Caenorhabditis elegans: one gene and its partner. The protein of the gene in region 2 interacts with the protein of the main gene of each other region in a pairwise test. Each region holds a gene or a part of one and is shown on either strand. Other genes may lie near its edges.

What was found.
Region 1: the proteins of cyb-1 (region 2) and puf-3 interact in a two-hybrid assay, tested with the Caenorhabditis elegans proteins (3 studies listed by BioGRID).

What each region holds. Positions count from the first base shown.
Region 1 is NC_003282.8:13,509,807-13,513,967, forward strand, and holds puf-3 (PUM-HD domain-containing protein), read right to left. Parts: upstream 2,357-4,161; 5' UTR 2,340-2,356; coding exon 2,011-2,339; intron 1,939-2,010; coding exon 1,129-1,938; intron 1,082-1,128; coding exon 712-1,081; 3' UTR 501-711; downstream 1-500. Other genes in the region: afmd-2 (Alpha/beta hydrolase fold-3 domain-containing protein), read left to right, coding at 196-336, 389-467, 2,735-2,994, 3,491-3,589; m7GpppN-mRNA hydrolase dcap-2, read right to left, coding at 3,813-3,908.
Region 2 is NC_003282.8:10,733,519-10,737,937, forward strand, and holds cyb-1 (G2/mitotic-specific cyclin-B1), read left to right. Parts: upstream 1-1,923; 5' UTR 1,924-1,937; coding exon 1,938-1,997; intron 1,998-2,039; coding exon 2,040-2,458; intron 2,459-2,537; coding exon 2,538-2,924; intron 2,925-2,970; coding exon 2,971-3,073; intron 3,074-3,117; coding exon 3,118-3,234; 3' UTR 3,235-3,655; downstream 3,656-4,419. Other genes in the region: orc-5 (Origin recognition complex subunit 5 C-terminal domain-containing protein), read right to left, coding at 1-36, 103-275, 321-657, 700-839, 917-1,060; grl-21 (Ground-like domain-containing protein), read left to right, coding at 3,975-4,310, 4,354-4,419. UniProt on the Caenorhabditis elegans protein: Essential for the control of the cell cycle at the G2/M (mitosis) transition.

The DNA of each region.
Region 1 (4,161 bases), 2.8 Mb from region 2:
AAAAAATGGAGAAAATAAATTCATTTAGAAAATCGAGCCCGTAAATCGACACAACCTCTACAGTAGCCATGTAAAGAATTACTGTAGTTTTCGATACGAGATATTTTGCGCGTCAAATATGTTACATAATACGCATTCTCCGAATTTTGTGTTCTCGTAACATGTGGAGAGCACACAAAAACAGAAAATCTCCAGATTGGAAACCGAAAGAAATGTTTGGCTGTCGTCCACGTGGCACAAAAGCTTGGCTACACTGTAGTCAGCGTGGGATACGACTATGCCAACAAGGATCATGTATTGAGCAAGACGATCGTTGAAGCTTTGGAAGGAGTTCAGGTTGGCGGGAAATTTAAATATTTCAGAAAATGTTCTAAAATATAAATTCCAGTTTGCTCTGAAAAAGTTCAAGAATGCGAAGAAAATTGTGATTGGAGGACACTCAGTCGGAGCACACCTCGCATTTCAAGGTAATAATTAAACAAAATATTGCAATTAAATCTGGAAGTTTGTAAATTCTTTATTCACAGAATTTATATCAATTATTGTGCAAAACGGGGGCCGGGGTCTTCATATAATATAGAAGAGGTTGCAATACTCTTTCTACAATTTTCTAGCAATATAATAATAAAAATAATAATAGTATACACGTGAGTTGGGTGATGGTGGGGGTTAGGATTCAAATGGAAATGAATAAAAATTGCCTATGTGTATCTAGTACAAGGACATTGATTGGAGCGCTTCGATAATCTTCTTGCCCGACGAAAATCTTTCGAGGCGGTGGGCGTTTCGCATCACTCGTCCGTGAATCTTCTCGAGCCACATGCCGTACATCTCCGATTGCTTTTGATCTCGAGCATTCTGACCGAGAACACAAGTCTGGATCATCTGCTGAACAACGTAGTTTCCATATTGATGGAAGAGCAGAATGTCGAGAGCATCACGATTTGTATCCGGATGTGGAATATATCCTTCGAAGATCTCGTTCATCATCTCGGCAACGAGGCGATATGGAGCACATTCAAACGCCACTTCGACCACGTGGCTAGCGTACTTCTCCTGTGACATTGAGAGCAAATTTTGCCTGGAAATGGAAAAATACATTTGAAAATTTGACTATATAAAACATACAGAAGGCACTGCTCAATGATGATATCTCTGTAGACAGCCAACGCATCTCCACACTTGATAACGTGTTGTACCACGTAGTTCGCAAACTCGTTGGAAGCCAGCTGGGTGCAGTTACGAGTGACTCCAGCCATCAAACTGCGAAGAAGAATGACACGATGCTGGTAGCACTGAGCATATTGATCAGTCGACAAAGTTTCGACGGTCGATTGAATGACACGGCACCCATATTTGTCCTGGCAAACGTGGATGAGATTGTCGTCGTCGGCGAAGAAATCCACGAGGAAAGTCCACGAAGAGACTGGAAGCGTCTTGACAATCTTCTGAATCACGTGGTTTCCGTTTTGATCGATGCTGAGACGGACGAGGTGCGTGTCACGGAGCTCCAACGACAAACGAGTCGCAAGATGAACATCAAGCTTCTGAATAGCCAGTTGAATGACGCGGCACGCACTCTTGTCAAGGCAGAGATTGTACAAATCAGTAGCCAAGTGCTCCGTAAGAATCTCCTGCTCCTCAGTGTTCGAGCACTCCAAGACACGTTGCACAAAGAAGTTGCCAAACATGTTAGAGCAGAGCGACAAGAAGATGGCACGATCCTCGACCAGTTTACGGAAGAGTTTTTGGTGGACGTCGTTGTCGTTCTCCGTTGGATAATGCTCCTGAAGGAATCGGCATCCATTCTTATCGGTGGCAAATTCCACGAGAGCATCGTTGGCGAGCACATCCTGAAGAGTGACCGAGTCCGAGACATTTCCCTCGCCGTCGCCAGCCCAGATTGGAAGTGTGCATTTGTGGCTGCGGGTGGTCGAGCTGAAAATTTGATTATTTTTTTGAAAGTTTTAAAAATTGAGGCTCCAAGTCACTGGAAAACTCTAAACTCACTTCAAAGACTTCGAGAACGAGGCGTTGTTCTCCAAATCGATAAGTCTAACGGCCTGTTGAGGATAACGAGCCGGAGTCGTCATCGGTGTAGAAGTGCGCCATTTGGAGAATTGTCCTCCAAATCCTTGACGATTCGGAGCCCAAGCGCTCTGTGGTGTCGGTGAGGAGCTCCGAAATCCCATCGAAGAGTCCACTTTCCGATTCGGCGTCCAAATGTTGGTGGAGCTGTTGGCGTTGAAGCAACCACCGAATGTGCCACGAGCCTCCGTCGCCGTTGGCGGGCTCTCGTAGTAGCGACCGAGGTTAGAGGAACCGGTGTTTTGACTCATATTGGTACGGAGACTACCTGAAAATTTATTTTTTTGGAAGACATCGACGTTTGAATGGACGGAATAAGTGGAAAATACGATAGAATTAATGAAAATAAGAGAGCAAAATTTTGGGACGCGTCCTCGAAGACAAAAAATGAACAAAAATGAAGAAATCAGGAACCAAAATGCAAAAAATCCCGCGTTAAAATAAAAAATCCAAAATTTCCCGCGCAAAAACGAAATAAAGTACTGTAGAATTTAAAGGCGCATGTCGACGCTGCGCCGATGGGTCTCGCCACGATTGATAAATTTTGCATACCAGGAATAAAATTTATGAAAAGTTCTTGTATTCTCACTCTGTGCAAAAAAATAGCGCTTTTTTTTTGTTAAATCAAAGAAAAAAATATTTCCAGCTGTAACACGGATCCATGACCCCCGAATCAGTGGTGCCTACCTCAGCGCGGGCATCTACAAAATTCAAGAACTGACTTCCACGACTTATGGTCACGATCTTGGGTTGACTTCAGAAGAAGCAGAAACTTGTAGTTGTGATTATGAGCTTATGAAGCATGTCCGGTTCCCGGTGTTAATCGCATGTTGCAGACGGGAATCCCCAAAGTTGTACCAACAAAATCAGGATTTTTCTAGTCAAGTTGCAAATGCTCAGTACAAGGTTTGAGCTATTTTGGACCGAAAAAAAAACCCCGTTTTAGGGTCTTGGCACGATTTTTAAAATATTTTTTTAACGAGTTTCACGCCAAAACCACGTTACCTGGTCTCGACACGATAGATTTTTGCTAAATGAGAACAGATATATGCGCCTTTAAAGATTACTGTAGATTTAAAAATATATTTATTTTATTTGGAAAACTCATATATTACGATAAAAACACATTCTTAAGAAAATAGATTATTTAAAATTCCGCAAAAACCAAATTTCAAAAGTACAGTACTCTTTAAAGGCGCACACCTTTTCATATTCGTCGTGTCGAGACCATGTATGGTATTTTTGACGCAAACCCCATAAAATCTCACGTCTGGATGATAAAACACGAGGAAACAACAAAAATCTATGAAATTTCGAGAAAATTACAGTAGTCTTTTTTTAAAGGCGCACGTATTTTCGCAATCAGCAAAAATTTGTCGCGTCGAGACCATTTTTGTTTCAGGAATACGAAAATGAAGATCATTTCACAATCCTGACAGAGCTCACAAAAGAGGAGAGCATCGTGTACGCCGACTTCTTCAACTTTCTTTATTCAATTTAATTGTACATTTTTTTTTCCAAAAAATAAAAATCAGATTTCTTGTTGGGTGTGGGAAACCTACAAATCTACATGAAAACCTTAAAATATAGCAAATTGTTTAACAAGGTTTCATGACTAAAATGAAGTAAATAGATAGGAAACATGTGGGTTTAGGAGCAAAAAAAAAAAGATACAGACAAGAGTGAATATATATTGAAATTACAAGTATTTTATTATATTTTATTTATGGTAATTGTGGTCCAGTGCCAGAAACGGGAGATTTTGTAGAGAATTGTTGCATCCAAAATGACAATGGTCCAACCACATAATCAATGTCAAGCTGGAATTTTTTTAGTTGTAAAATCTATAATATTTTTGTAAAAAAAAGTACTGTCTAATTTAAAAAAAAAACGAGCGTCGTTTTGCAAACCCGCGGCGCGCTTTTTCAAATAATTTTACAATTTTTTGGCGAAATTCTTGATTTTTGATTATTTTTCGAATTTTTTTTTGTGATTAGCATTTGAAATCGTCAATATAAACCTATTTTAAAAATAATTTTTTTTTATTTGTGGCTCATTTATTTTCCCTACATT
Region 2 (4,419 bases):
TTATTGCTGGCACAGTATGCGGCTATGAGAAGATATCTGAAATAAAAATTTACTGGAATTTCTGGAAGAACTACATATTTTCTGTTGAGTATTTTTAGATACCTCATGGCGAGCGGCATGGCATCAAAACTGTTCTCGTTCTCCTTGGCCAGATTCTCTCCGACAACATTCCCGAGCTTTTCTCCAGATGATCTATTGAGGCATTCTTTTGCCAGTGTAGAGTCGAATTTATCGCCGGTTCTCCGCTCATCATACATTAGCCACGCATCAGATATCTGGAATTGTAGTGATGGATTTAACATTGTTTTTAAAAAACTTACAATTGATAGAAGAATATTCGGTGACTTGCAGGCCATGAACAGTGACTGGCAAGCAACGTGAAGAAATTGCGCGTTGATTTTTGGATTTGCACGAGAAATAAGAACTTTGGTAGTTTCTACTGATGGTGCAGGTATGTGAAACTCTACAACTGGAAGATGGCTCAGATTAATGTGATATTGGTTCAAGCAGGATGGTGCACTCGTCACAAATCGAATCGTTATTTCTTGTATAGCTTTGTAAGAATCGAATAAGCATTGTAATGGAACAGGAGGATAGTCTGTTATCGCTTGTGCATTATCAAGAAAAATGACAATTTTTCTATTAGTTTCGTCTGGCCTGAAAATATTTAAAATTTAATTAACAAGAAAATACACTTACCATTGGACATATTTATACAGGTTATCGCAAAAATTCTCAGCTCTGTCACCTCTAGTCTTGAAACCTAAACTCGATGCCAGTGAATCGAATAACAATTTCAGCGATCCATCCGCATAGAGGAAGTCTCCAAGCACACAAACCTATAAAAATAGATTGTGAATTTTGAAATTGTTTGAAATTTTTAATTGTTTTGAAATTGAAGTTGTAAAACACGAACCCAATCGTTTTCAGGTTTTCTCAGAAGTTGACGAACAATTTCACTTCTTCCGCTTCCATCTTCTCCGAAAATGTGGACATGAGAAATAATTCGCGAGTTGTTAAATAAGAGCATTTTTAGACGTCTTATCTCACAATTTTCCATTTTGCTAAAAATAAAAAACTATGATATGGATAAAATGACTGATTTTTCAGCCTTGAAATAAAAACAAAAAAAACTTTCTTCCAGTAAAAACTGTTTTCAAGTTGGCGGGTATTCAATGGAGCAGGTTTACTTGGCTAAACTAAGCGCGATGCGAAATAACGGAGTGTCGTATTGCAGCGCGAACCTTGAAAATAAAATCATTTGCTCTTGAAACTTTGCGATTATTAAAGTTTTGATCGGATCTCCCTCAATTTTTCGGCGCCAAGAATTTATTTTTTGCAAAAACCTTCAATGGAACGATTATTTTCCAACGCAGGTTTCCCTATTTGAATCTTTGCCACATAGACCGGTTCATTTTATTCATTATTCGATTCTTGAACAAAAACAATCTTTTTTTCTTTGGCTTATCGTTATCAAATACCTAACTTTGGAGCTTTATTAATATTCTAGGTTCATTTGTAATTCATCTTTTAACGTCTGTTCTTCATTCATCCTAGGTGACATATTTAATCGATATTACCCTTCGCGATTCCCCCCTCCTACCACCAAGCACCATCTTGGTGTGGGGGAGTTGCGCTCCGTTGGACAATCGCTGCACGCGGAACATTCGAATCCCATTTGTCGATATTCTTGTATTTAGTGCAAACAATTCTTAATAGGCTCCTCACGTGACCTTAACATGTTCGCCGTGTAGAAACTATTTACACGTTGTGTTCTATTTAGATAAAATCATAACCTTTCTGTCAGATTTTGTAAAACGTCCAGTATTTCTCAACTTACCAATTTTCTACTAGCAATCAAAGGTTCTTTCTCACTTTTTATTTTATTATCTCTTGGAACTTGCAAACAATCGTTTATTGCAGCGAAAGGCCTCAATATGCTAAGAGCCACCAACAACAGACGAACATCGAATAATGTGGAAAAGGATAGCCTCCAGGTACAAGGTGTTTACAAACTAAAAACTATAATTATCATTCAGATGGCTAAGCACGGAAACGGACCATTGAAGCCCGTCAATGCGCAAGGTCTTCAGACGAAAAGAGAAGCTCGAGAGATTCTTGCACTCAAGCCATCCAATCCAGCTCCAGTCGAAACTGCGCAAAAGTCACAGAGAATCAACCTCCAGGATGCTGAGACTAAATGTCTTGCTATGGCCGACGACATATACAAGTATCTCGTTCATCACGAGAAAAAGTATCTTCTTGAGGAGTGCTTCATGGAGGGAGGAGAGCCCACTCCCAAGATGCGTCGCATTCTCGTCGATTGGCTTGTCCAAGTTCATGTTCGATTCCATCTCACACCTGAGACACTTCACTTGACTGTCTTCATTCTGGATCGCATGCTTCAGAAGAAGGTCACCTCCAAGGCGGATCTTCAGCTTCTTGGAATTTCAGCTATGTGAGAGTTTTTATTCAATTTTAAAACGTAACATATAGGGATTACTAATTGTGTATCCTTTAAAAATGTTTTGTTTCAGGTTCGTTGCCTCCAAGTTCGAAGAGGTTTACCTCCCAGACATCCACGACTACGAGTTCATCACTGAGAACACATACAGCAAGAAGCAGATCTTGGCAATGGAGCAAACAATCCTTAACTCGTTGAACTTTGACTTGTCCTGCCCATCTTCGCTTGTCTTCCTCCGCTGTCTCTCAAGAATTCTCTCCGAAAACGATGCCAGCCCAATCGATAATCAAGCTTTCTGTTATACTTACAATATCTCCAAGTGTCTCGGAGAGCTCGCACTGCTCGATTCGGTTATGGCCTCGACCCCAAGGTCCCACATTGCTTCTGCTTCGATGATCATCGCTCTTGAAGTTCATCCTGTTGACGGAATCGAGGCGGAGAATGCTGTATCGGTCATTTGGTACATTTTAAAGCTTATATTTTTATTTTAATATCAACATTTTTAGCAAACAGCTCGGAGCCTCTAAGAAAGTCATTGAGGATGCTGTCGCTTTGCTCGCCGAAGTCTCGTATAAGAACTTCAAACAGGGGAAGCTTGTCGCTATTAAGGTATTGAATCATCGAAGTATTCCAATAAACATAATTATTTGCAGAATAAGTATCAATCAAGCAAGCTTGCACAAGTTTCCAACTTGATGACCGACGACGTACTCGAGAAAATCAATCGGATGGGCCAGAATGCAAAAGTGGACGCATCAGAAATGGAATGAGCACTTCGATCCGAAATAAACATTTTGTACCATTCAGTCTTTCTTGATTCTTATGTTTCTTCCTTCATTGCTTTTCTTTTCGGCTCCTTTCCATTTTTTAACTCCTCCAGTCGTTTCCACGTCAATCTGGTCACACCCGTACATTGATTGTAAATTGGTGAACATTCGTTGAGCGACCATACACCACCTCCCATATTATTCAATTTGTCCATTTTGAAATTTAAAATTTCACTAAAAATTTTTATCACAACTTTTCGCGCCCTCTTTTGTATCGATCTCGTATTTAATTATTGAAACCACACTGCTGTAAGACTCACCGTCCTCATCTCTGTTGTTGTAACTAGAAGGACCAAAAACTTTCTGATGAAACCTATGTGCTATTAAATTTTGTTAAATGGAATTACTATAAATCATGTACTAAATAAGTGATGGAGTAGTCTGAAGGTTCTAGGGGGTCTCCTGCGCAATGACGCGACGAACTTAAACCAGTCAACAAGCATAAAAACAAGTAGGCTCCACCCACTTTAACCTTGAATTCTGTGTGCCGAACCCGGGGTCAAGTGGCTTTTCGGCCAATTACTCATCGGTTTGTTACAGCACTGGCGGTCACTTCTCGCCGAATTTTCTCAAAATGTGTAATAATGAAGCTGCAATTTCTCTGCGTATCAATCTCTAACGCTCTGCTGTAATGACTACAAAAGTGACCATCGAAAACGAGAATTTCATACATTCCACTCGAAATGGTTCATTCATCAGTTCTAATTGTTCTTTCACTGACTGCTTCTTCATCTGCATTCCTTCTAGAAGGACTCGGTTTAGGATTAGGTCCACAAAGACCTCAACAATGCTGCTGTCCACCACCTCCACCACCTCCACCATGCGGAGGCGGATATGAAGCTCCACCTCCACCACCACCACCATCATATGCGGGTGGACCATCATACGCTGGACCATCTTATGCTGGATCCTACGGACCAGGACCATACAGAGCCAAGTCAAAGAGATCAGTTGACATGAAAGCTTCAAGTGGAGATTTGTTCTGTAATAGTGTTGAAGTTAGAGATATTATCAAGAAGGTATTGCATTTGAAAGTAACTAGTCTATATTGAACATTTTCAGGGAATGACATCAGGTGAGAAGGAGTCACGTGAAACAATCACTGCTCTCCTGAAAACTGAAATGAAC